5 linked regions of the Kluyveromyces lactis genome follow. The protein of the gene in region 1 binds, or shares a complex with, the protein of each later gene. Links are inferred from orthologs where the notes say so. Each region holds a gene or a part of one and is shown in the gene's direction. Other genes may lie near its edges. The genes, in order: SIN3, RCO1, SDS3, UME6 and EAF3.

Region 1 (3,535 bases):
GTTGGCTACCAAGAAAAACCCAAACATATCGAAAATATAGTACATGAAAAACATAGATTGGACTTGGACCTCTGCGAAGCATGCGGCCCAAGTTATAAAAAATTGCCAAAAGACGATACCTTCATGCCATGCTCTGGAAGAGACGAAATGTGCTGGGAGGTTTTGAATGATGAATGGGTGGGTCATCCAGTGTGGGCGTCAGAGGACTCTGGGTTCATTGCTCATCGGAAGAATCAATATGAGGACACACTCTTCAAGGTAGAAGAAGAAAGGCACGAATATGATTTCTACATCGAGTCCAATTTAAGAACAATTCAAACCTTGGAAACGATTGCTAATAAAATTGCAAACATGACCAACGAGGAAAAGAACAATTTCAAGCTTCCTCCTGGATTGGGTCATACTTCCCTAACAATTTATAAGAAAGTCGTTAGAAAAGTATACGATAAAGACAGAGGTTTTGAGATTATTGACGCCTTACACGAGCACCCAGCTGTCACAGTGCCCATTGTTTTGAAAAGATTAAAGCAAAAGGATGAAGAATGGAGAAGAGCTCAGAGAGAGTGGAATAAGGTCTGGAGAGAACTTGAGCAAAAGGTTTACTATAAATCGTTGGACCATTTAGGGTTGACCTTTAAACAAGCCGACAAGAAATTGTTGACTACCAAACAACTACTATCTGAAATTAGCAGCATAAAGGTTGATCAAACCAATAAAAGAATACATCCATTGACACCTAAACCAAAGAGTCAGTTAGATTTTGAGATAAATGACCGTGAAGTTTTGTATGATATTTTGGATTTGGTGTTTACGTTCGTTAAGACTAATGCATCCTATTCCAATTCGGATAAGATCAAATTGGATCATTTTTTCAAGGCGTTCATATCTCTATTCTTTTCGTATCCAATCAAAGATGTTAATGAAGCTGTATCTGAACGCTCTTCAATAACTGACCAAGAAAATGGAGAAGAAGATTCTAATAAAAGCGATTCAGAAAAATCTAATAAGAGAACATTATCTGATGAAGACTCTTATCTGATGAAAGACATTTTGCGTAGGACGAAGAATGCAAAAACCTCGAATTCCGAAGAGAATCAAAATAGCTCTTCCGTAAAATCGAATGAAGAAGATGAGACTGAACTCTTGGCCAAAGAGGCAGCCAAACCTTGGTTACTCGGAAGCCTTATTGATGAAGCCAATAATAGTGGGATAGTATCCGATCGACACATTTTCAATCTCTTCACTAACACAACCATTTATGTTTTCTTCCGTCACTTGAACACTCTCTATGAACGGTTATTAGAAGTCAAGAAAATAGATGCTGAGGTTACTGATGAGATTAAAAACAGGAAAATTGTACAATTTGCCAGCGATTTAAATCTAATTTCGACACAATTGGCTGACATGGGTCTAGCTTTCAAAGACACTAAAGCTTATGGTGAGTTGTTAAGACTTTCGAAAAGATTGATAACTGGTGATTTAGATCATCAATGGTTCGAAGAGAGTTTACGTCAAGCGTACAAGAATAAGGCGTTCAAAATCTACACCATCGACAAAGTCGTCCAGTCACTAGTGAAACATGCCCATAGTATCATAACGGATCCAAAAAATGCCATGGTGATGGTTTTGTTTGAACAAGACAGACTAAAAAGGGATACCACTGCAAAGGATCAGATTTTGTATAGATTGAAGGTCAGGAACACCATGGGAGAATCTGAGAATATGTTCCGTATTGAATACAATACCGACAGCTCACATGTATCAATCCAATACGTTGCCGTGGACGATTTGACATTAAAAGAGCCTCAAAACATGAAAGAAAAATGGGATTACTATGTCACGTCTTATTCATTGTCTCATCCTACCGAAGGGATAACACAGGAAGATATCAGCCAACCCTTCCTTGGGAAAATCATCGAAAAAGAAGCGGAATATCTTGATGATGAGGAACAGAATGACAAGTTCTCACCAGAAGGGGTCTCTCAATCCAAGCTCAAAGTTAACATACACCCAGAAACTTATGAACTAACTTTCGAATGTGGTTCAACTGATGTGTTCACCAGAAAATCTGTTAATAAGTTCCCAAGCTCCCAAAGCACTCAACCGGCATCAAAAATGGATAAATTCTTGAATAGTTCTAAGGGTTGGAAGAAAAACTTGAGCACTGAGATAATTGGACGCGCAGAGTCCAAAATGAAAATTTTGAAGGAACAAGGTAAATTAGAAATTGACCAAACACTGACAATTACTGCAAAAATTGAAGAACCAAACGAACCAATCTCTAAGGAAGATGTTCCTGAAAAAGCTGTGTAGTTTTTGCATACACGATTGTAAAATAAACAAATTCATGTTATATAATGCAGTTATATAGTAGTAATATTACCCTATTCAAGTTCAGTATCTACTCCGAAATCGGATAGGTCTTCTCCCCAATCGTTATACCAGGAATTCCGCCCTAACCTATCCCTGAGATCTACGGATTTATCTCTTATTACTTGTTCACCTCCAGAAACTATCGTCTCGATTGATGATCCTGATCCTAAAGCCCGGGAATGATGTGTCAAACCATCAGGAGGCCAAGGTAAAGACATAAGCATATCCTCTATAGATGAATTTGGATCATAGAAAAAAAGTTCGTTCTTGGCGAATGATGTCCCTATAGTTGGCGGCTTGGACCACGGCCACAACCAAAGATACCAAGGACCCATTGCATTGTTAATATTGGTCCATGGGTTGACGTCATATGGGAAGTTGGTGAAATCTTCTTGATTCACATATCTTTTTGAGAGTAATTTATTAATTTCGTGCTGCTTGGCGGGAAGTATTTCGGGCCTTCGCTCCACCAAACGGTCTATAACTTGAGCCAAAAGCCTGTTCTTGTAATGTAAACTTTGAATTCTGTCCATCTCCCAGGATTCAATTTGTGTCATACCATGCAAACATTGGTTATAAATACACCTTCCTAGTAGTGAAGAAACTGTGAGCAATACAAATGCATCCATAGGAGTCATAATGCAGATAAAAATGATCTCTGATGTAGACCTATGATGAAAAGCCGTATGCCTTATGGACCAAAGTAGATAGATTCTTCCAATAAGGAGAAATAATAGGTAAGCAGTAGAGAAAATGACCCAGAATAAGAAGCGCATAAAATGGGGAAAGTTGCTGTGTCCAACACAATTGAGCGTCCAAGGACAATGGTGGTCCATTGCTAATACGCATTGATTACAGGTTTTACAATGATGGGCCCTTTCAGGCTTGTAAACCCGACACTTTTTACAGTAATTATGCCATTCTTCCGCAGACGGCTTAAAATCCTTTGGCGGTATACCTGGGTTGGTATAAATGGCCAAATAGTATGAAACCCAAATCATAGTTTGACATGTTTGATAGAATATTTGCTCATTCCATGAAAGAAAGTTCGAAAGAATGAAGTAATGAGATCCATACCCAATCAATGCAACAAGAAATGCAGGTATTGCAACGCCCAGCCACCGATTTTTCAATTTTATAGCCATATCGGTCACTGGATTAT
Region 2 (5,127 bases), on another chromosome or scaffold:
AGAGAGAGAAATCCTCCATTCCTAGAACCGGAACATCGGATAATTGGGTTTATCCATCAGAGAAGCAATTCTTCGAGGCAATGAAGAGAAAAAATTGGGATCCCGAAGCTGTGGATATGAAAGCCGTTGTTCCCATCCACAATTCCGTTAATGAAAGAGTATGGAATTATATCAAAATTTGGGAAGACGGACAAGGGGGAGATGTCTGTGGTGGCATCAAATTGACTAGTTTCAAAGGCGATTCAAAGAAGTTAACCCCAAGAGCATGGTTTAGATCCTCAATCCTTGGAATGACCAAACCTTTTGATAGGCACGATTGGGTCGTCGATCGCTGCGGGAAACAAATAGATTATGTCATCGACTTCTATTCGAATCCAGAACCTGAAAAGAACCACCTTCCTCCAATATATTTGGACGTTAGACCAAAAGTGAATACTTTTGAAGGTTGTAAATTACGCGTTATGAAAATGCTAGGATTTTAAAGACAGAAGGGATCGTCCAAATTTTCAATCCTAAGGGAAGATAATGGACAAAAACACATCACGGTATTAGCAAATACATTTATATCTCTATATTTATCGGTTTGATCGAGATACACAAACCTAATCGTTTGGTACTCCGACATTACCTCATTTTTAAAACTCTGTAAATAGATAATTAATATATATATATAATATATTTGTATATACAAAATTTGTCATATATGTACATGATAAAACGTGAAAAGTTGCGAAAAAGATTATGCACTAACGTCCCGGCTTAAGCTTCCCTCATCGGGTTTAGAATTTACCTGGAGAGAAAGCTTGGCCTAGCTGTTGCATGTTTTCACCAACCTTAACGTTAGTTTCAAAGTACTTGGCAACACATCTGTCGATACAAGTAGATTCGTTCTTGTTTAGTTGACCATCGTTATAAATTTGTTCAATACATTTCTTGTGACAGTTGTCGACCAACTTGTTGAACATGTCAGTAACCAAATCTAGTTCAGCTTCAGCTGCTGATAGCTTTTGTTGAGAAGATAATTGAGGTTGACCGCCTAGACCGAACATTTCTTAGAAGATGATTTTTATATGTTGTTATTGTAGGAGTGGTATTCCTGTGGCTATGAATAGAAGACTAATCACTACGATAAACTACGTCAATAAATATTTACAGATCAAACAACAGTCTAGTTGTCAACGCATTTAACTGCTATTAGTTAAATTTTAGTGAACTGCAATTCCTGACGAATAGTTGCTATACTGAAAATTTTCAGAAATATGAGGAAATATACGTTACCCGGTCACATGCACGTGATTTGGACATGTATTGATTTGACAGAGGGAGCATTGACCTATAGTAGTCATTGAACCTTTGGAACTACCGATTCTTGCAATTATTTGGTACTTATGAGGATTGAGTTCTCATTCGTTGTAATTATATATGCATGTATATCTTACTTTCTTTCTCTGTTAAAACCTGATATATTGAAGACAGATAACTAGTCAAAGAAATCATCGTCTTCATCGTCATCTTGATCCACACTAGATGATGCTGTTCCTTTTTCTCTTCTATCGAATATAATACGTGTAGTATTGCGCTTTTGCTCATCTCTTCCGACTGATTCGAGGATTCCAACGATGTCCTGCTCTGTTAATTTGTTTCTAATAGCACCGGACCGCACCATTTGTAGTAAATAAGCTTCTACTGCCTTTACACGTTCTGGCCGCACCAACGCTACCCTGCTCAATCTTTCTTGTGCATTGGAATCCAAAATCTGATTCAATATCGCTTGTGTTTGACCATCATTCGATCCGTTGTTTGCTGATTCTGATGTTCCTCCACTTTGTTGCTTCAATTCCCTCAATCTGGCCTCTCTAATGGCTCTCAATTCGTCGTCCATGGTTGCTTCTATTATTTTAATGTGACTGGTGACGCCTCAGCCTGTTCCCGTAACTATATACATTTTGATTCCATTATCATTGATATAGCTGGTATGTGTATACGACTTCAACTATCGAAGGTTCGTGATATTGGAATACAGAAAAAAAATAAAAAAGTGCGATACAAATTTAATTGAACGCATCTAACAATTGAATTAAATTATGGTTCAACGCGAAACAACGAGTAGGGGAAAGTACCGGCTAAAAAAATTACGTGCCAGTACATCTACTTTCCGGCTTCATGACAAAAAATATGGAGGTAACGAGGCCCAAACGGTCAGGTACTGCCAATGTGGATTATAATCTGAAAAAGAGACGGATTATTCCAAGTGATGATTATCCAACGAAAAGTACATCCTCAATATCTTCATCACCGTCCCAAGAACCATCGACAGAACCTATTGGACCAGTCATTCTTAAGGATAGTAATGGAAATATAACGTTTCAGGAGCCGCCAGTGCATGATCCAATAAATGCTATGACAGGGACGCCATTATCTCAGAAGCCGAAGGGATCGAGTAACAACAACAGTAACAATAATAATAGTACCAATAACATCAATAATAACGACAATGATGATAGCAATAATAGAAGTGGTAAACACAGAAATGGTAACAATAAGAAGAAGAAATCCAATATATTACAGGCATTAAAGAGCAGCATGGAGGCTAAATATGAGGGACAACTACAAACTGAAAAATCAAATGAATTGACCGTACAAAGTCATGAACGCATAGGAGCGAACACTCCCACTAAACACAACAAAAATTCAGGAATTAAACAAGAGGCTGACTCGGATTTTATGCTACAGGATCCTATACGAAATTCGCCCAGTAAATCGATAGCACTAAAAATGGCGAAAAGGTTGAAATCTACCAAGGATAAAGATACCAAGTTATTTGGACAAAATGATAAAGCTTCTCATTTACATATTCCAGAAATTGATCCGGATAATAACAAGGAAAATGACGATTTTTGTTCCAACTGTCATGGTCCTGGGGTGTTCTTATGCTGTGACACTTGTCCAAAATCTTTCCATTTTGCTTGCTGTAACCCACCTTTGGATCCAAGCCATCTACCAGAAGGTGATTGGTCTTGTGATGAATGCCGATTCAAGCAATGGATCAAGTCTAATAAATACGGACTGTCCTCTGAAAAAAAGTTGAAAACAAGGTTTTTACAAGACCATTTCAAGCAACCCGGGTATCAGTTATTCGGTACTCTAACATTTGATCTTCAAAGGAAAAATCCGTTCCAATTTCAATTGCCGTCTATTATCAAATCAACGTTCGATTCGGTCTCCTCGGGGTCGCAAGGAGAATATCGTGACGAACACTTTAAAGAAAATATCAATGAAAAACAAATTTTTCATTCCGCGTACGGGCAGTCTGTCACACGGATGGATTCTTATCAGCCAGAGTATCATTTCAACCAGGATTCTGGAGAACTTTTAGTGTGCTATAATTGTGGAGAATCAAAGATGGGAACATGGGACCATCCGGACTCCCAACGACTGATAATGACTTGCGATTACTGTTCAACACCATGGCACTTAGATTGTCTTCCACTGCCTAGAGCATCCTTGAAAAACCTGGGATCGAAGTGGAAATGCCCGTTGCATGCCCCATTACCAAAATCATACAAAAGACGTTTAGCAAGGGGAAAACAGAAATATATAGTACTTCCAATAGGAAGTAGAAACAACGGAGATACAGAAATAGCAATAGATGCGGACTCCTGGACTTTATCAAAACTTACAGAACAGAATGTCGCACTAGAGTTTTTAGATAAGGTTTATCAGGCGAAACGTGTACAGCAGTTTGAAGACTTGTGTCAGCATTCTACGATTTTAGACAAATTAGTTGCAGCAGAAAATCAAACCCCGATATTGAATGATATATCCAACCTCTTATACTTCCAAACGTCCGGTACCCTCAAAAGATTATGGGACTTTAAGGAACTCTGTAAAATATCGGAACAACAATTGCTGAAGGAAAAGGCAAAAATTCAACCCATAGATGAGTCCGAGTTAACGATTCTTCAAAAGTTGAAAACGCTTTTAGAGTCGAAACCGAAAAAAGAAGTTCTTGAATTTTTCAAACTTACTCAATAGTTAAAGGTTCACGCATGCCCGTATTCAATGGAGCTGTTTGTTATTTTATGTTTCATCTTCATCGGCGAGTTGAAGACTTATATATAGAAACAACTACATATGATAAAAAACATTTCCTTAGATAAATTATGACAGATATATAGCTAGGTAATGATGGAATTTCGTAACTTACATTACCTCTTCGTTCTCATCATCTTCATTATAATCGACGGCAGTTTTAGTACGGGTGCTTTTCCTTTGGGGACCTCTATTACTTTTCAGTGGGCTGGGGTAAATACTTCTATCATGTGCACCATCTGAGTCATCGCCGCTGTCACTGCTATAATGTCTTCTTTTCTTTGAAGGGGTGCGCTGTTTATACTCACTTGTCAACTTTCTCTGCTGTTTTTGCTGCTTAGTTGTCGTCGATGACCCATGCACCATTTTACTACATTTTAGCTTTATCTTTTGCTCAAGAACTTGAGTGTAATCATCTTTGATGAATGTTTTGAATGTATTTGCCTGTGCTAATTCCATGTTCTCGAAGGGTACGTAAAGATCACTCGGTAGGTTGAGTTTACCAGGGTACACGGTGAGATTCAAATTTTTTATTTGTTTCAATTCATTCAAAATCATCTGAACCAATTCACTTATCACGTAAATGCATGTTGGAGCCTCATCTAACAAGTCTTTGTACTGTTTTATACGACCGGCTAGGTAATACAATAAGCTGATACTTTCGGGCTTTAAAACAGTATCTAAAAAGAAAAGAACATAATCAATTGCAGTGCTGCAAGATGTAATGAATTCGTCTTCTGAAGCATCCACATAAAGGTTTTCTTCGATATCAGGATGGTGCGCAATGCAGTGGAGAAGTCTTGGAAGGCTTCTTTCAAATATAGCTCCTCTTCGTGCTGTTTCCTTTTGAAAAGTAAAATTAATCCATATTTTAGTATCAGTTTTAAATTTGGCATCTGGCTCAAACGGCATAAAGAACACTAATGGAATGAATTTGATGCTTATTTCTTCGTTTGAAATATAGTTTTTCAGCTTGGTCACGAATTCGCGTCTAACAGGGAAGCTTTCATCTTCAACTAAATTAATAAGTTTGAA
Region 3 (3,957 bases), on another chromosome or scaffold:
TAATCAGGCAAAGGATCATTAACGTTGCCTGTCAATTCTTGTAATTCCGATAAATTTGAAATGTACTGGTACTCTTTGGAAACATCGGATAAGTCTGAATGAACGCTAAGCAACTCATCCACATCGCTATCCAGAGCAAGGTACCCAGTACTTGGTGAGATTGCATCTGATGGGTAAATATATGGTGAGTTAGATGCCGACGACACAGTATCCAAATTGTCAGTCTCATTAGTGGACAAGGCAGGGAACAAAAAAGATGGATCTGTGTTTGGTATATTCAATTCATGTGACACATATTTATTAGCATTTCTACCGTTGTTACGGTTGACGCTAGGTGGCTGCTGAAGCTGGGCGTTACTTTTCACACTGCGATTAAGCATATCGTGAGCCAGGACACCATTTATACTAAGACTAGGGATTGAAGGTGCGTTTTTGTTATTATCACCAGTTTCTTTCGAAAAGGAATTCGCGACACTGAACCCAAACTCCTTAAAACCTGACAGTATATCACCACCGAAGTCAGACAGCTTGACACCACATTTCCTACTATTATTCATCGCATTGAAACCAGGCGCAACCTTCGACCCTCGAGAATTGTCAGAATCTTCCGGATTTAACAGTACATTCGCACCGATGTCACTGGGACTATCGACATTCAAATAATCGTCAATATCCATACTGTTCTCTCAGTCAAAAAAAAAAACAACAAAAACAACTCGGAATACAAGTCTCAAAGTCAGGTAATATTATATCCAAAGGGGAAACCAATATGTTTTTCGAAAACTCTGTTCTCTGTTCTTTCTTTCCTATGAACTGGAAAGACTGAAAAGAAGAGCTTTATAAAATCGACACACTTATAACGTCGAAATTTAAAGTATTAGAATATTAGGGGTAGTTCAAAGCACCGCAAAATTCAGCGATTTATCTGTACTAATAACACACAACACTGATGTGTATCACAGGCTGCGTACCACTGTTTTATCTCTGAATTAGTCTCACTATTTCACTTCTATTCACCTAACAAAAAAAAAATCACATCGTCATTATATTATAACTTAACTTACTTTTTTTTTTTTTGGGAATTTTCCCTTTTCTTTACCAAAATTGCCAAAAGTTCAAAGCCTTTAAAAACTTTCAACACACTTAAAGCCTGCACTTATACCGGCCAGCTTTAAGCTTTTCTTATCTGAAGCTGCGACTTTTCTGCGGGGAAATGAGATGGAAAACGGAACATAAAAAATTTAAAAAAGAAAATGGTGATACTTGCAATGAATAAATCAGTGTTATGGGAGCATTGAGGTTCGAACGGCAGAAGCATGGCATTTTCTTGTTTGTCTCATTTGATTATTATTATTTTTTTTTTTTTTTTTTTAAATCAGAGCAGCTTAAGCAGTTGTACTTTGTACATACTTTATACATAATTTGTACATAATTTGTACCCAGCTCATACGTTGCACGATACATGTAACGAGCAGCACATTAACTCGTTGTGTTAACGTTTTCAATTGTAATTTTTTATTCTGTGTTAGTAATTTCACAGGATAATTGGTAAGAAACGATACCGGAGAGTTTTTCTGGTTTCACTTTAACAATTATATCAGCTTTTGCAGTAAATACAGCTTCTCCCCCCGAGGAACATGGATGAAGTACAATATTCTATGATGAGCAGCGGTGTGAAGAAAGGTCAAGGAGCGAAACAGAATGGGGGTGCTATTCCCGCAGGTGTTGGGCAGGATTTGAGTAGGAAGGATAAGAAGCGATTACAGTTTGAAGGGAAAGTGGGAAAGATAAGAACGTCGTTTGCAAAGGATAAAGATGTGCATTATAGGGATAGGTTGACTCTGTTACAGACAGATTTAACGACGCTGCATCAGGGGAATAACCCTGAATTTCTGAGGAAATTGAGGGATCTTGAAGAAGATAGGGATTTGGAATTAGTTAGGCTCAGGCTTTTCGAAGAGTACCGGATTTACAGGTCCAAAGTAGAGTTCCAAGAAGATATTGAAAAAGCCAAGCAAGAACATGAAAGGATGATCAAATTGTGCAAAGAGATGTTGTATGAATCCCTACAGAAAACTATCAAGAAATTGCAAGAGGAACGGCTACTTCTGGATGTAGCAAACACACAGTCTTATTCGATGGATTATTCTCGAGGGAAATTCCAGAAGCAGACTAGAAGCTCAACTCAAAATTCAGCCAATTTTTCGGCTTGGGATTCGTCACCGAACGATGTCAGCCAAACAGAAAGTGGCAATGAGACTGGTAATACTACCGATAGGAGGTCATTGCGTAGGCGTGCTGCTACTAATCAGAATAGAGCTCAAACTCCTGCAAACATTACACCTGCAAACGGAAGCGGGAAATCAAGCAATACTAATAGCGATGCAGAGTCGATGCAATATCTGAGCGATTCATCAGAATTACAGGCTTTATTGTTCGGAAAGGAAAAGGAAAAGGAAAAGAAGATGGGTCGAGGTCACCAAAGACTTTCGACAAAAAGCGCTCCTATTCTTCAATCTTTAACTCCGGATGAGGTTACTGATGATATATCTTTGATAAGAAAGCTAACGGGCCAAGTACCAGCCCCATTCAAATGAATATCAATAGTTGGATTTATCTTGTAAATCTGGTCTGGGGTACAAGTGAAGAAACTAAAATGTTACCAGTTTTTTTTTTCTGTCATCCAATATTTCCCAAACTGCTTAGGTCCCAAATACTATCCGTTATTGTCAGTCTTATACCTTGTATTTTTAGTGTATCTCATGTGTAATACTACTACTTTATAATACTGCGTATTTTTTAATGTATGCACAAAAAAGTGAACAGAATCTGAATTTTGATATTTCAGTTATCTATTGACGATGATTTATGCGCAATACGCGATCCATTTATAAACATAAACTCAACAGTCGATTAAAGTACCAAGAATATTAGTATAAAACCTCATTCTTTCATCTTCAACTATTGGGACGTACACATTCATCTTTTCCACTTTTTTTTGCATGATTACTGATAGTTTCCATCTTATCTCATGAGGAATAGAACCAGAAAGCTACTGATAGTGATAACAATTGCACTTCTAATTTGTGTTGGTGTACACCATATTGTGCGAACGGAAGAAGCTGCAATATGGGAAGATGCTGTAGTCTACTCCTCAGCGGATCGCGCCTCTAAGAAGGAACATCCCTTCTTTGAAGGGTGTGTGGATACTGCAGAATATCTAAATCACAAAAAATATGAACGACAGAATGCCACATTTGTGATGTTAACAAGAAACGAGGAGCTGGATGGGGTAATTCACACTATGAGATCTGTGGAAAGAAGATTCAATCAATGGTTCCAATATCCGTACGTTTTTATGAACAACGAACCATTCACTGATGAATTTCAAGAAAGAGTCCGATCATTAACAACTGCCAACATAACGTTTGCCCTTGTAGATGAGTCCTCATGGAATTTCCCTAAGGAGAACACTCCACTATTTCAGCATTACGTTGAATCCCAGGGTGATCGTGGAATTATGTATGGGAATATGGTTTCATACCATAAGATGTGCAGATTTTATTCCGGACTCTTCTATAAACACCCTGCAGTTAGGCAATACGAGTGGTACTGGCGTATTGAACCAGATGTGGAATTCTTCTGTGATCTAACTTATGATCCATTCTTTGAAATGAAGAAGGCAGGAAAGAAATACGGTTTCACAATTTTTATCAAAGAAATATATTGGACTGTGCCGAACTTATTTAGAGCAACCAGAAGTTTCATCAAGCAAAACGATATCAAACTCGGATCACTGTGGAAAGCCTTTATTAAGAATAGAAACGTTTTACTCGGAGATGATTATTTAAATTCCTTTGTCAATGAACTAGAAGAATTGAACGAAGAAATGACCCACGAATTTCTGATTGACTATTTGAAGAAGAATTGGGCAAGAGAAAAAGTCATAGATGACGA
Region 4 (5,216 bases), on another chromosome or scaffold:
TGTAACGATGCACTTGGTGAAACGTGTCACTTGGTTTTCAGAGGCCGTGCTGCAGCATTTGCAACAATGACTTGGTGTGCATTGATTTTAGCCTGGGAAGTTGTCGACATGAGAAGATCATTCTTCATGATGAACCCTGAAAGTGAAACACCATACACTCAAGTGTTCAAGGACATCTGGAGCAATCAATTCTTGTTTTGGTCCATTGTTGGTGGGTTCTGTTCCGTGTTCCCAGTGGTTTATATCCCAGTAATCAACGACAAAGTGTTCTTACATTACAATATCAGTTACGAATGGGGATTCGCAATCGGATTTAGTTTCGCATTCTGGGCAGGCGTTGAATTATACAAATATGGTAAGAGACATTACTTCGGCATCAAGGACAGAGTCGACAATCCAGAAAATGATTTAGAAAAGAGAGCAGTGCACGATCCGTTCGAACAATACACTACTTCCTTCTCCAGAATGAATACTTTTCACAACGACGAGAAGACTATCTGAAAGTTGAAAAGATGCAGGAATAAGCGGTGCTTTTTAATTATTTTTAATCTACAACTTATCTGGAACAAATGTATATTAGCAAATCCATATGATAAGTATCATCAATAATTTAATTTTTATAAATACCATACTACATTAACAAAAGTAGTTTATCTCACTTTAGATCGATTTTACTCTAGTTTCCCGTCAAAACTCTTTATATTTGGCCTGAATCGATTAAGACTTTGGGCCCAAAAGTTACTAAGCCGGAACAACTGATTATGACCGGGTAATACATGGTCTTTACTCTTTTCAAATCTTTTTCTCCCTTTCCAGCGTGTAAAATAGTTTCAAGACAATTTTCGTCAAGCGATACGCCCAATGGATAAGAAAAGTCAAAAACAGTCAAAAATTATTCCCACGGGTAATTAAAGAAACCCACCATCTTAGCGGGCTACATATGTAATCAGCTACTGTATAACAGCAGTGCACCTTACAAACTTCAGATATCCTACTAAAAACAAAAAACCGAGAAGCAAAGCAAGGTCAATGAGCTTGCTTAGATGGCTAGTACCATTGCCGTTCCCTTTTTTCTTCCCTTTTCTCCCTTCTGATTCGTTTTCTGCGCTTGTTTTCCTGTAGTTTTTCGCTCAAAAAAAGGCAAAAAAACGCCTAATTGAATCTCGTTCGAAAATCACATCCAAGGCGTTGTTTATTTATTTATATAAATCGAATTTTACAAATGTTTGATTTCTCTTACTTGTTTTAGTTTATTGTAATATACTCTACTTTATTTTTTTATTCTTTATGAATGCTTACATTCATTGAAACCGCGATCCTCTATGAATTGACAGGCTTCTGGTTCAATCTCTCTTACTAATTACGAACCCGCTCATTCCGTAGCTCCTGGCTTAATACCTGATTGTGTTTAGTTTCAAGAGTCTTATAAGGGGGTGAGGAGAGAATCGGTTTTTTTTTAACTCAAGAGTAACACAAACTCTTGGCGCTAAGCGCTGGCCTGAAACTTAGACTGAAGTTTTCTTCAAATATAAAAGAACCTTCGGAATAGATGGTTCGTCAGAAAAGTCAAATTGAGCGGCGTGCTGTGAACTCTGTTCGTTTATCCTCCTCTTCTCCGTTATCTTCCAAAATGCATGTGCCGGAGAAAAGTACCCCGCCAAGTTACCCTGACGAACATTCAAAAACAAACGCCGCCCAAGTGGAGCTAACCGCCCAGCGGGAAGTGACCAAAATTGATGAAAAACAAGAAAACGAAAAACAACAACGAGTGAAAACAGGTGAAAAACAAACGCTGCTGCGACATACACCAAGGCTCAACCCCTTGATACATTTAGCGATGTCTCCTACTGCTGCTCCGAATAATACGCCTGTGGAGGAAAACGATCTACAACAGGGTGTTATCTCTCCTTCACGTGGAGAGCCTTCCGGGATTCCAGGGACAAAGCCTCAAACCGAGGTTTTGCCGCCACTTCCTCGTTACGGAGAGACTAAGCAAGAGGAAAAGGAGGTTGCCGTGAAATTTGAGAAAAAAACGGGTACCCAAGACTTTGATCACGTGGTTTCGGCTGATAAACAACATGTTCCAAAAATAAATACGCGTACACCATCTATCTGTATATCCAGTAGCAATACGCTGCCGAACACTGGGAAAGGGAGTAGCACCTTATATCAAGACTCGCGCACTCCCGTGTATTTGTTCAACGATAGGATAGACTCTGGTCAAGTGAGTGAAACAGAAACACTTCACGATTCAAGAAAGGGCGAGGAAATTCAAGCTGATACTGGTAGTCATCAAAATGAACGCATGCTGCGACAAAGCGGACATAGACTCGAAGGCAAAAAGGGCAATGGCAGAAACATTGGTAATCCTGGAACTGTTTCACATGACGGTGCGAGCGGTATTGCTGCGCCTTCATCTTCGCCGATCCTTGAGACCTCGAGCGCTTCCCGTGATAGAGATCTGCATGCCACAGGAAGCGCCATGACTCCAAAAAGACTACATTTTGATTGTTCCACAGAGAAAATAGATCCGGGTGCAGGCATCTCATCAATTTCAGCTCAAAAGATCAATATTACTTCATTACTAAACTCGAGATCGACAGCAGAATCAATCTCGCCCCCTCCATCTACGGCAGGAAATGAATACACTATTCATTTCCCATCCTCAGCAGCGTCAAATCCTCCTCACTCCACAGGATCCTTCCTACATCCAAAATATCAAAATCAAAACCCGCAGGTCTCATCTACCATGAATAGAATTGTTTCTCCAACCTATATGTTCGAAACCGATCAGGTTCATGGTCCTTTCAGTAATTCTAGTAGTGGCAGTAATAGTAGTGGCAGTAATAACGGTAGCACAGCAAACAGTAATAACAATAATACACATATTACCTACCAACCGAAGTATTTCAACACAAAATTCGATGAGTTAAGGAATAGAGTGTTATTAGGATCCTCAAACGCTTTTCCGAAAGTAGAGTCGGCTAACAAGTATCCATATAATAGCACAATGGTCAACCCAACTTTGAATGATCAAGATTCCAACGTGGATGCGGAAGCTGCCGCAATCATTTCTCAGATGAGGTCTTCCCCATTACCCCCATTTAACGAACAGTTCGGCTCTGGCAATCATGATAGCCGACCGAATTCGTCATTATCAAACCAATCTCTCCAAAATAATGCCTTTAATCCGTTCTCCAAAAGACTTTTACCTAAGCCAGTGCTTCGGGTTAACCAACGACCATTGACTGGCAACCAGGATGAACTCGTTATAATGGAAGAAGAGGATGATGATGATGACGGGTATGGCGATGGTGATTACGAAATGACCGAAGGGGGATCAAAGGCACCAGAAACTGTTGCATGGAATAAGAATGGAAAAAGAAGATTGTCCAGAAGAAGATCAGGCCCACCACATTATCAATCTCAATTGACAGGAATTAAAAATGAGATTGGAGACCATCCAGATACTACGGCATACCCCGCTGCGGATATCTCGGAAAATGGTATGCATATAAAAAGATCAAGGTCTTCATCATTATCTACTGAACACACTGGATTATTGTCACCGAATTCCAAACATGCCAAACAACTGAAGTTTAAAGAATCTAATTACAATAATGATGTTTCTAACGAGCAAATGGTCAAATCAAGTGATCAAATAAAGAAAAGAAATGCTACGGGGGCACGGTCAAGAACTGGCTGCTGGATCTGTAGATTGCGTAAGAAGAAATGTACAGAAGAGAAACCGCAATGCCAGAACTGCGTGAGGTTGCACCTCGAATGCTTTTACGACATAGTAAAACCCGATTTTATTTCAGATCCTGCTAAAAAGGCAGCAAAACTCGAAGAAATTAAAAAGAAAACAAAAGAAGCTAAGAGACAAGCAATGAAAAAGAAGACTTGGTTATAATCAAAGAGACAATCATCTCTAAATTCTTCTCAGACACACATCTGTATCATCAGGTGTTCTCAGTTTTTTTACAATAATGGACAACCCCTCAAAACTCTATAGATACCATTTTTGACTGAACTTTTATGATTATGTTCACCTCCCAATATATAATATACTCAGATATATTTGCTGTAATAAATGTGTAGACTGACTTTAATATACAATGTATGAATTGTACGTATTTTAAGCACAAAGCTTAGGGAATAGTATGGAAATGATTTCAAAAGACAACGTAGTTCAATATTTAAACTTTATGCTGCTTTCAAAGGAGGATTGAGATGATATGAGGATCAACAAAATAAAATAAGATAAAATAAAAGAACATACAAAATATAGACACATACATTACAACCAAAATTTGGAATAATTAAGATAAAATTTAAAAAAGTGTCGTTTCAGTAACTAAGGAATAGAGAAAAACAAGGCGTTAAAAATAATTATATGTGAATCACTTCAGTACATGAAAGGTAAACACATTTTTCAATCCGAGAACTATTATTTTGCGCTATGAATAAAAGAAAAAGTTGAATTGATCATCAGCCTTTTCAGCCATTGAAGGCAAACGATCCCCTGCAATGGAGACATTGTTATTGGGAAAGAATTGAGAGTCCCTTCTGATATTAGTTGAATTCTGAGGATGGTTTTCTTGATTTTGCAAGTTGTCAAATTGTGGTGAGAACGAAGTGAATGGATTATGGAATTGGGCATATTGGGAGCCCATATATGTTCTCTGTTGAGCTTGTTCGTACAGACCAGCGGAGTTGTTCGCCTGGGATGACATAACAACACTGTCCCTGGCAAATATACTTATTTGAGAATCATGCGAAGCGTTCTGTAAATAGTTGAAAGTGGACAGATTCTGGACATTAAGTTTAGGAGCTTCATTAAGGCCGTTACTATTTTCTCTGGAATCAGTAGAACTGCCATTGGTGTTAGTGGAAGACAGTGGTATCGAAGAGGACGAACTTTGAACATGGATAGATGAAAAAGGAGATGAAACAGAGCCATTGCTAGTATTTGTGCTAGCACTGTTGTTGCCGTGATTTGACATCTCGGTCCTATTGTACAAACTGAAAGATTTTTCATTCTCACTTCTTTCAACTGTGGTTGAGACGGAAAATGATGGCGTGACATTAAAACTCAGTGGCGGTTGGGGAGCAGAAGAACCACTGTAATTCCATACAGGGTTAGCAGGAGTCGTGTTATCTTTCACAGCTTCTTCAGTATAATGTGGCGATGTAGACATGTCCATACTACTTCC
Region 5 (4,140 bases), on another chromosome or scaffold:
GTACGATAGATATTCAGCAAACTGTTTTGGTATCTCCGGTGTCAATAAATCCGTTGGTTTTAACCTCTGTTTCGTGAGTCCAATCTTTTCATACTTAGCCTTGTTGTTAAGAGCTTTCAAACCTTGCCATGGTAAGGACCCACGTAAGAAATAGAAGAATACGTGGCCAAGGGACTCCAAGTCATCTCTTCTCGATTGCTCTCTACCGAAATGGGTGTTTATCGACATGTACCGCGCAGTCCCGCTCAAAGATTTACGCTCTCTATATGGTATATGTTGTTTTGTGTTTGGGTCCCTAAACTGCTTTGCCATTCCGAAATCAACCACGTATATTAGGTTTGCGTCACCACCACTGCTTGTGGCACACGACTTAACCACTGACCCATCCGATAACTCCCGTTGAAACTCAGATATCAAAAAGTTATCCGGCTTAATGTCCCGATATATCAAATCATGCTCGTGAATAGAACGTACTCTATCAATCATCTGTTTCGCCAACATTGCTGTCGTCTTTACGGAAAATTTTCGACTACACCATTCAAATAAATCTTCTAACGACGGACCCAACAAATCGATGATCAAAATGTTATGAATCCCCTCTTGACTGAAATAATACGCATGAGGAATTCCTCTCACATCATTCAATATCCTATATGCGCGAAACTCATCCCGTAACTGTGGTGAGTCAGACCGTCTGGGTTCAAACTTTATAGCAACAGGGTTCTTCGACCCACCATTTAGAATGTTTTCACCTTCAAAGATTATTCCAAACGAACCTTCCCCAATCTTAGGACCAACAGCATAGTGAATTCCTACCACATGCTGGGACGAACGTTTAGACATTGCAAAAGCACCGACTCTGGGTTTTATCAAGTCCTATCGGGAAACAAAAAAATACAATACTAGGAAATGTGGGAAACCTTTCCTTTCTCTCTTGCTTCGAATAAAATAGTTCAGTAGCCACCACTCAAATAACGTCTCATCGACTCAGAATACCAATACAGATGTTTGTCCGCGTGTAAAAGATCGTCCTTGCCAGTCAGAACCGTTGTGGTTTGCTTCTTTGGTCACTGTGATAAAAGGCTGTTTCTTTCAAATTTGTTTTTGTTTCATCAACTTTTTTTTTTCTTTACTTTGGCATTAAAGGTCAGAACAGCATTATTAGGAGAGCTTTGCAGACCTTGTGTGATGGTAAGAGGTGGATATGCGACGTGATTAGTGGCGTTGTGGTGCTGGAATTGGTGTTGAAGGGTGGCCAAGACTTTATGAATTGATACTAGTTTGACTCTAGTGCTTTGAGGCAATACTTGGAGATATCAGGTCACTTCCAATGTCATATCATATCACGTGAGTTGTCACGTGATCAGAATTTCCCACTTCCTTCTTCTTGGAAAGTACTGCATTCCTTCCAAGTAGCTGCGGTTTATATACCATTACTATCAAGTGCTCACCTAGTGTTATCTACTGTTTCTATACTGTCCGTTTTCCCATGTTTCTTCACGTAAAATTCAAATGCCAAATCTTACGTTAAAGCTACCATCTAGCACTTTCACGAAACAGAAGTTACACATAGTATTTGAACCTGCTACGCTGGTCTTTCTCCAAAATTTAATTGTCCCAGGGGAACTTTCAGTAGCTGTTGATCATGGCAATTGTTCTAGATGGGAAATGTTTGTGTTATCACGGACCTTTGCTCTATGAAGCCAAAGTATTACGAGTTTACGATGAAAAGAATCAGACTATTACATCAAAGGACTACAAAGACGTGAGTATTGACGATGAAAAAGTAGAATTTGATCGTCCGCCGGAACATATGAGACAGGGCCAATGCTATTTTGTGCATTACCAGGGCTGGAAGTCGAGTTGGGACGAATGGGTTGGTTTAGACCGAATCAGACCGTATAACGATGAGAATTTGGAATTGAAGAAGTCGTTGGTGGAAAAGGCTCGAGAGTTGAAGAACAATGGTGGGAAGAAGAAATCAGGATCACGGCCTGTTGGCAGGCCTAGTAAGGTTGAGAAGGGCAAAAAGGCGGCCAGCCGTACCTCAAATAGTGGCAGTGGTACTAATACTTCGGCAAGTTCGACTTCCGCTTCTAATCCAGCCTCATCTTCATCTTCTGGTACAACAGCAGCAGCTTCCAGCTCTGACAAATCCGACCGTAAGAAGGCAACCCCAGTACTAAACAAAAGATCACACCCTAAGATACACATAAAAGTCCCTATCTCGCTTCGTTCTGTGCTTGTAGACGACTGGGAAAACGTCACAAAAGACAGAAAGCTAGTACAACTACCCAGCGAACGGCCAATCGAACATATCTTGTCCCAGTTCTATGCAGATACTAGCAATTCGACCTCCTCAGTGGTAGAACAAGCTCAACTCTCAGAATTTCTGCAGGGAATAAAACTCTACTTCAACTTATCCCTGGGGAAATTACTCTTGTACCGTCTAGAAAGAATCCAATATGCAGAACTACTGAAAGCACACTCGGAGAAACAGTACACTGAAATTTACGGAATTATCCATCTACTAAGACTAGTCACTTTACTCCCCGAAATGATGGAATCAAGCAACGTCGATGACCAAACTGCCAAGATCCTAGTGAAACAGTGCGACATTTTACTCGAATGGATCGCCATAAACATCGCGAGGAAAAACTTCCCAGTAGATCCCTACATAAACACGTCCTCCCAATACGAGGGGGTCGCACTAAGCATGTAATATATCTCTACCACATCTCCAGACCCCACCACATACACCGTTATATATATATATATCCCCCAAAACCCTTTTTTCGGGGACCCCAGAAATATTATTTCCGGGCCGTGATTATAAGCGATCAACATCTGAAAAACAGTTTCGATTCGACCGTACTCATCATAGCATAACAATCACAAGACATCATAAATATACTGTTCGTTATCCTTAAATCATCAGCTGTCGGAGCCTCGGAGTAAGCAGTGTACTTCAGTATCTATTGATATATTTACGCTGTACAGCAGACGGTGGTAGAAAATGATGGGTTCTGAGAGTAAGGAAGCGTCGGAGGAAAAAGTAGGCGGCAGATACGTTTGTCCTCATCCAGATTGTGAGAAGACCTTCTCACGGTATGAGCATTTACAGAGGCATAAGCTTAACCACTGGCCGAAGCAGATATTTCGGTGTGAATATGTTTATCCTGACGATGGGATAGTTTGCAACCGGACTTTCGTTCGGAAGGATTTGTTGGTGAGACATCAGAGACGTCACACGAATAACGGTGTTCGAATGCAGATGAAGGTGAGAAGAGAATCTGGCAAAGAAAGAGCGGCGGGTGGGTCTAAAGCAGCGGCACCGCAGCTGCCGGATACGGCGAGTGTCGCTGGTGTTGGACAGCAGCCACAACAGCAGAAAAAGGTGGATCATATCGTACTTGATGTGGGGGATAAAAAGCACAATAAGGCGAGCTCGGGTAGCGGACATGCGGTTGGCCATGACAGTAACTCTTTGCCCAATAGCAGTAGTACGACAAGTAGTAGTAATACTAGTCTGAATGCTGGGTTTAACGCAATGGGGCCAGCATCAAACGGTAACTTGAACAGTTTCTTCAACTGGTTGTTCGCCGGTGGTGTAACTCAGGATGCTACGCCTCAACAGAATAGTAGGTTGGATCAGCCATCTGATGCAGTGCCACCAACTGCGAAGTTGGAAGATCCATCAATTTTGTGACCGCCTCTGTCACAATCCCACGTTCAGCCACAGTACCAACGTCAGCAGCAGCATATTGATAATATTCCCTTGGACCAAAAAGCACACATGGTTCCGCCTCAACAACAGAGTTATGATCCTGAACTTAACACAGGCCTCAATACCAATCCAGGATTAACAAATATCGTGGATGATTTATTCTCGGTGGATTTCTTACCAACAGATCCGTTACAAACCTTGGTGCAGCAGATGTCTTACAATGATATCATCCCTCAACAATCGGGAGAAAGTGTCGCTACCCCATCTAATGCAGGCTCTGTTACTTCATCCATCGACTCGGTTCCAAATAGATCTCCAAAATTTAAAGATGTTGGAAAGGAGAACATTAAGGACAATTTACTGGCACAGAAGTCGAAAGTCGGAGAGTTAAAATCGCAACTGAAACGGTCAGC

What was found.
Region 2: the proteins of SIN3 (region 1) and RCO1 are in contact, whole or in part, in a cryo-EM structure (PDB 8HXX), measured with the Saccharomyces cerevisiae proteins. The link is inferred for Kluyveromyces lactis from reciprocal best matches to the Saccharomyces cerevisiae genes SIN3 and RCO1. Residues at the interface, in NP_014639.1 of Saccharomyces cerevisiae: Ser661, Leu662, Glu665, Val666, Tyr675, Ile676, Leu681, Thr683, Glu684, Lys687, Ile688, Asn690, Leu691, Gln694, Asp695, Ile696, Leu697, Asp701, Lys705, Asp707, Phe708, Tyr709, Gly711, Ser712, Glu749, Gly769, Ser790, Glu791, Asp792, Ser793; in NP_013791.1 of Saccharomyces cerevisiae: Lys82, Leu84, Leu85, Ile93, Ile94, Lys95, Leu96, Glu98, Pro99, Ser100, Thr101, Ser103, Glu104, Lys107, Ser109, Val110, Thr111, Leu113, Pro114, Leu115, Asn116, Lys117, Gly118, Pro119, Ile123, Lys124, Glu126, Ser127, Leu128, Trp129.
Region 3: the proteins of SIN3 (region 1) and SDS3 are in contact, whole or in part, in a cryo-EM structure (PDB 8HPO), measured with the Saccharomyces cerevisiae proteins. The link is inferred for Kluyveromyces lactis from reciprocal best matches to the Saccharomyces cerevisiae genes SIN3 and SDS3. Residues at the interface, in NP_014639.1 of Saccharomyces cerevisiae: Ser661, Leu662, Asn663, Val666, Lys809, Glu813, Glu816, Tyr817, Tyr820, Ile821, Leu825, Arg826, Ile828, Gln829, Cys830, Glu832, Thr833, Asn836, His857, Lys869, Val870, Tyr871, Arg875, Glu878, Ile879, Ala882, His886, Val889, Thr890, Val893; in NP_012182.1 of Saccharomyces cerevisiae: Arg18, Ile21, Glu22, Val25, Leu75, Glu76, Val78, Arg79, Leu82, Phe83, Tyr86, Arg90, Ile93, Glu94, Ser289, Lys291, Thr292, Ala293, Pro294, Pro295, Leu296, Gln297, Ser298, Leu299, Pro301, Glu303, Val304, Thr305, Asp307, Ile308.
Region 4: the proteins of SIN3 (region 1) and UME6 are in contact, whole or in part, in a crystal structure (PDB 6XAW), measured with the Saccharomyces cerevisiae proteins. The link is inferred for Kluyveromyces lactis from reciprocal best matches to the Saccharomyces cerevisiae genes SIN3 and UME6. Residues at the interface, in NP_014639.1 of Saccharomyces cerevisiae: Glu407, Phe408, Ala411, Ile412, Tyr414, Val415, Asn416, Lys419, Tyr429, Leu433, Leu436, Gln437, Tyr439, Gln440, Ile446, Val449, Phe467, Lys469, Phe470, Leu471, Pro472, Asp473; in NP_010493.1 of Saccharomyces cerevisiae: Asp519, Leu520, Gly521, Thr522, Ala523, Ala524, Ala525, Val526, Leu527, Ser528, Met530, Arg531.
Region 5: the proteins of SIN3 (region 1) and EAF3 are in contact, whole or in part, in a cryo-EM structure (PDB 8KC7), measured with the Saccharomyces cerevisiae proteins. The link is inferred for Kluyveromyces lactis from reciprocal best matches to the Saccharomyces cerevisiae genes SIN3 and EAF3. Residues at the interface, in NP_014639.1 of Saccharomyces cerevisiae: Phe751, Lys756, Arg757, Leu758, Pro759, Trp782, His785, Val787, Trp788, Asp792; in NP_015348.1 of Saccharomyces cerevisiae: Asp242, Lys243, Pro379, Asn380, Arg381, Ser382, Asp383, Val388, Asn389, Thr390, Ser391, Ser392, Glu395.

The regions. Positions count from the first base shown.
Region 1 is NC_006039.1:546,528-550,062, forward strand, and holds the end of SIN3 (transcriptional regulator SIN3), read left to right. Parts: coding exon 1-2,313; downstream 2,314-3,535. Other genes in the region: palmitoyltransferase PFA4, read right to left, coding at 2,385-3,518. UniProt on the Saccharomyces cerevisiae protein: Catalytic component of the RPD3 histone deacetylase complexes RPD3C(L) and RPD3C(S) responsible for the deacetylation of lysine residues on the N-terminal part of the core histones (H2A, H2B, H3 and H4).
Region 2 is NC_006042.1:2,400,371-2,405,497, reverse strand, and holds RCO1 (Rco1p), read left to right. Parts: upstream 1-2,163; coding exon 2,164-4,035; downstream 4,036-5,127. Other genes in the region: cytochrome c1 heme lyase CYT2, read left to right, coding at 1-482; protein transporter TIM10, read right to left, coding at 780-1,049; SDD2 (Sdd2p), read right to left, coding at 1,481-1,882; sister chromatid cohesion factor PDS5, read right to left, coding at 4,204-5,127. UniProt on the Saccharomyces cerevisiae protein: Catalytic component of the RPD3C(S) histone deacetylase complex responsible for the deacetylation of lysine residues on the N-terminal part of the core histones (H2A, H2B, H3 and H4).
Region 3 is NC_006041.1:773,725-777,681, reverse strand, and holds SDS3 (Sds3p), read left to right. Parts: upstream 1-1,637; coding exon 1,638-2,597; downstream 2,598-3,957. Other genes in the region: DNA-binding transcription factor CRZ1, read right to left, coding at 1-677; KTR5 (putative mannosyltransferase), read left to right, coding at 3,032-3,957. UniProt on the Saccharomyces cerevisiae protein: Component of the RPD3C(L) histone deacetylase complex (HDAC) responsible for the deacetylation of lysine residues on the N-terminal part of the core histones (H2A, H2B, H3 and H4).
Region 4 is NC_006042.1:1,922,599-1,927,814, forward strand, and holds UME6 (DNA-binding transcriptional regulator UME6), read left to right. Parts: upstream 1-1,549; coding exon 1,550-3,913; downstream 3,914-5,216. Other genes in the region: KLLA0_F20658g (uncharacterized protein), read left to right, coding at 1-501; EBS1 (Ebs1p), read right to left, coding at 4,461-5,216. UniProt on the Saccharomyces cerevisiae protein: Component of the RPD3C(L) histone deacetylase complex (HDAC) responsible for the deacetylation of lysine residues on the N-terminal part of the core histones (H2A, H2B, H3 and H4).
Region 5 is NC_006041.1:1,190,184-1,194,323, reverse strand, and holds EAF3 (Eaf3p), read left to right. Parts: upstream 1-1,645; coding exon 1,646-2,722; downstream 2,723-4,140. Other genes in the region: casein kinase YCK3, read right to left, coding at 1-843; KLLA0_E13487g (C2H2-type zinc finger protein), read left to right, coding at 3,017-3,709; SDD4 (Sdd4p), read left to right, coding at 3,797-4,140. UniProt on the Saccharomyces cerevisiae protein: Component of the NuA4 histone acetyltransferase complex which is involved in transcriptional activation of selected genes principally by acetylation of nucleosomal histone H4 and H2A. The NuA4 complex is also involved in DNA repair.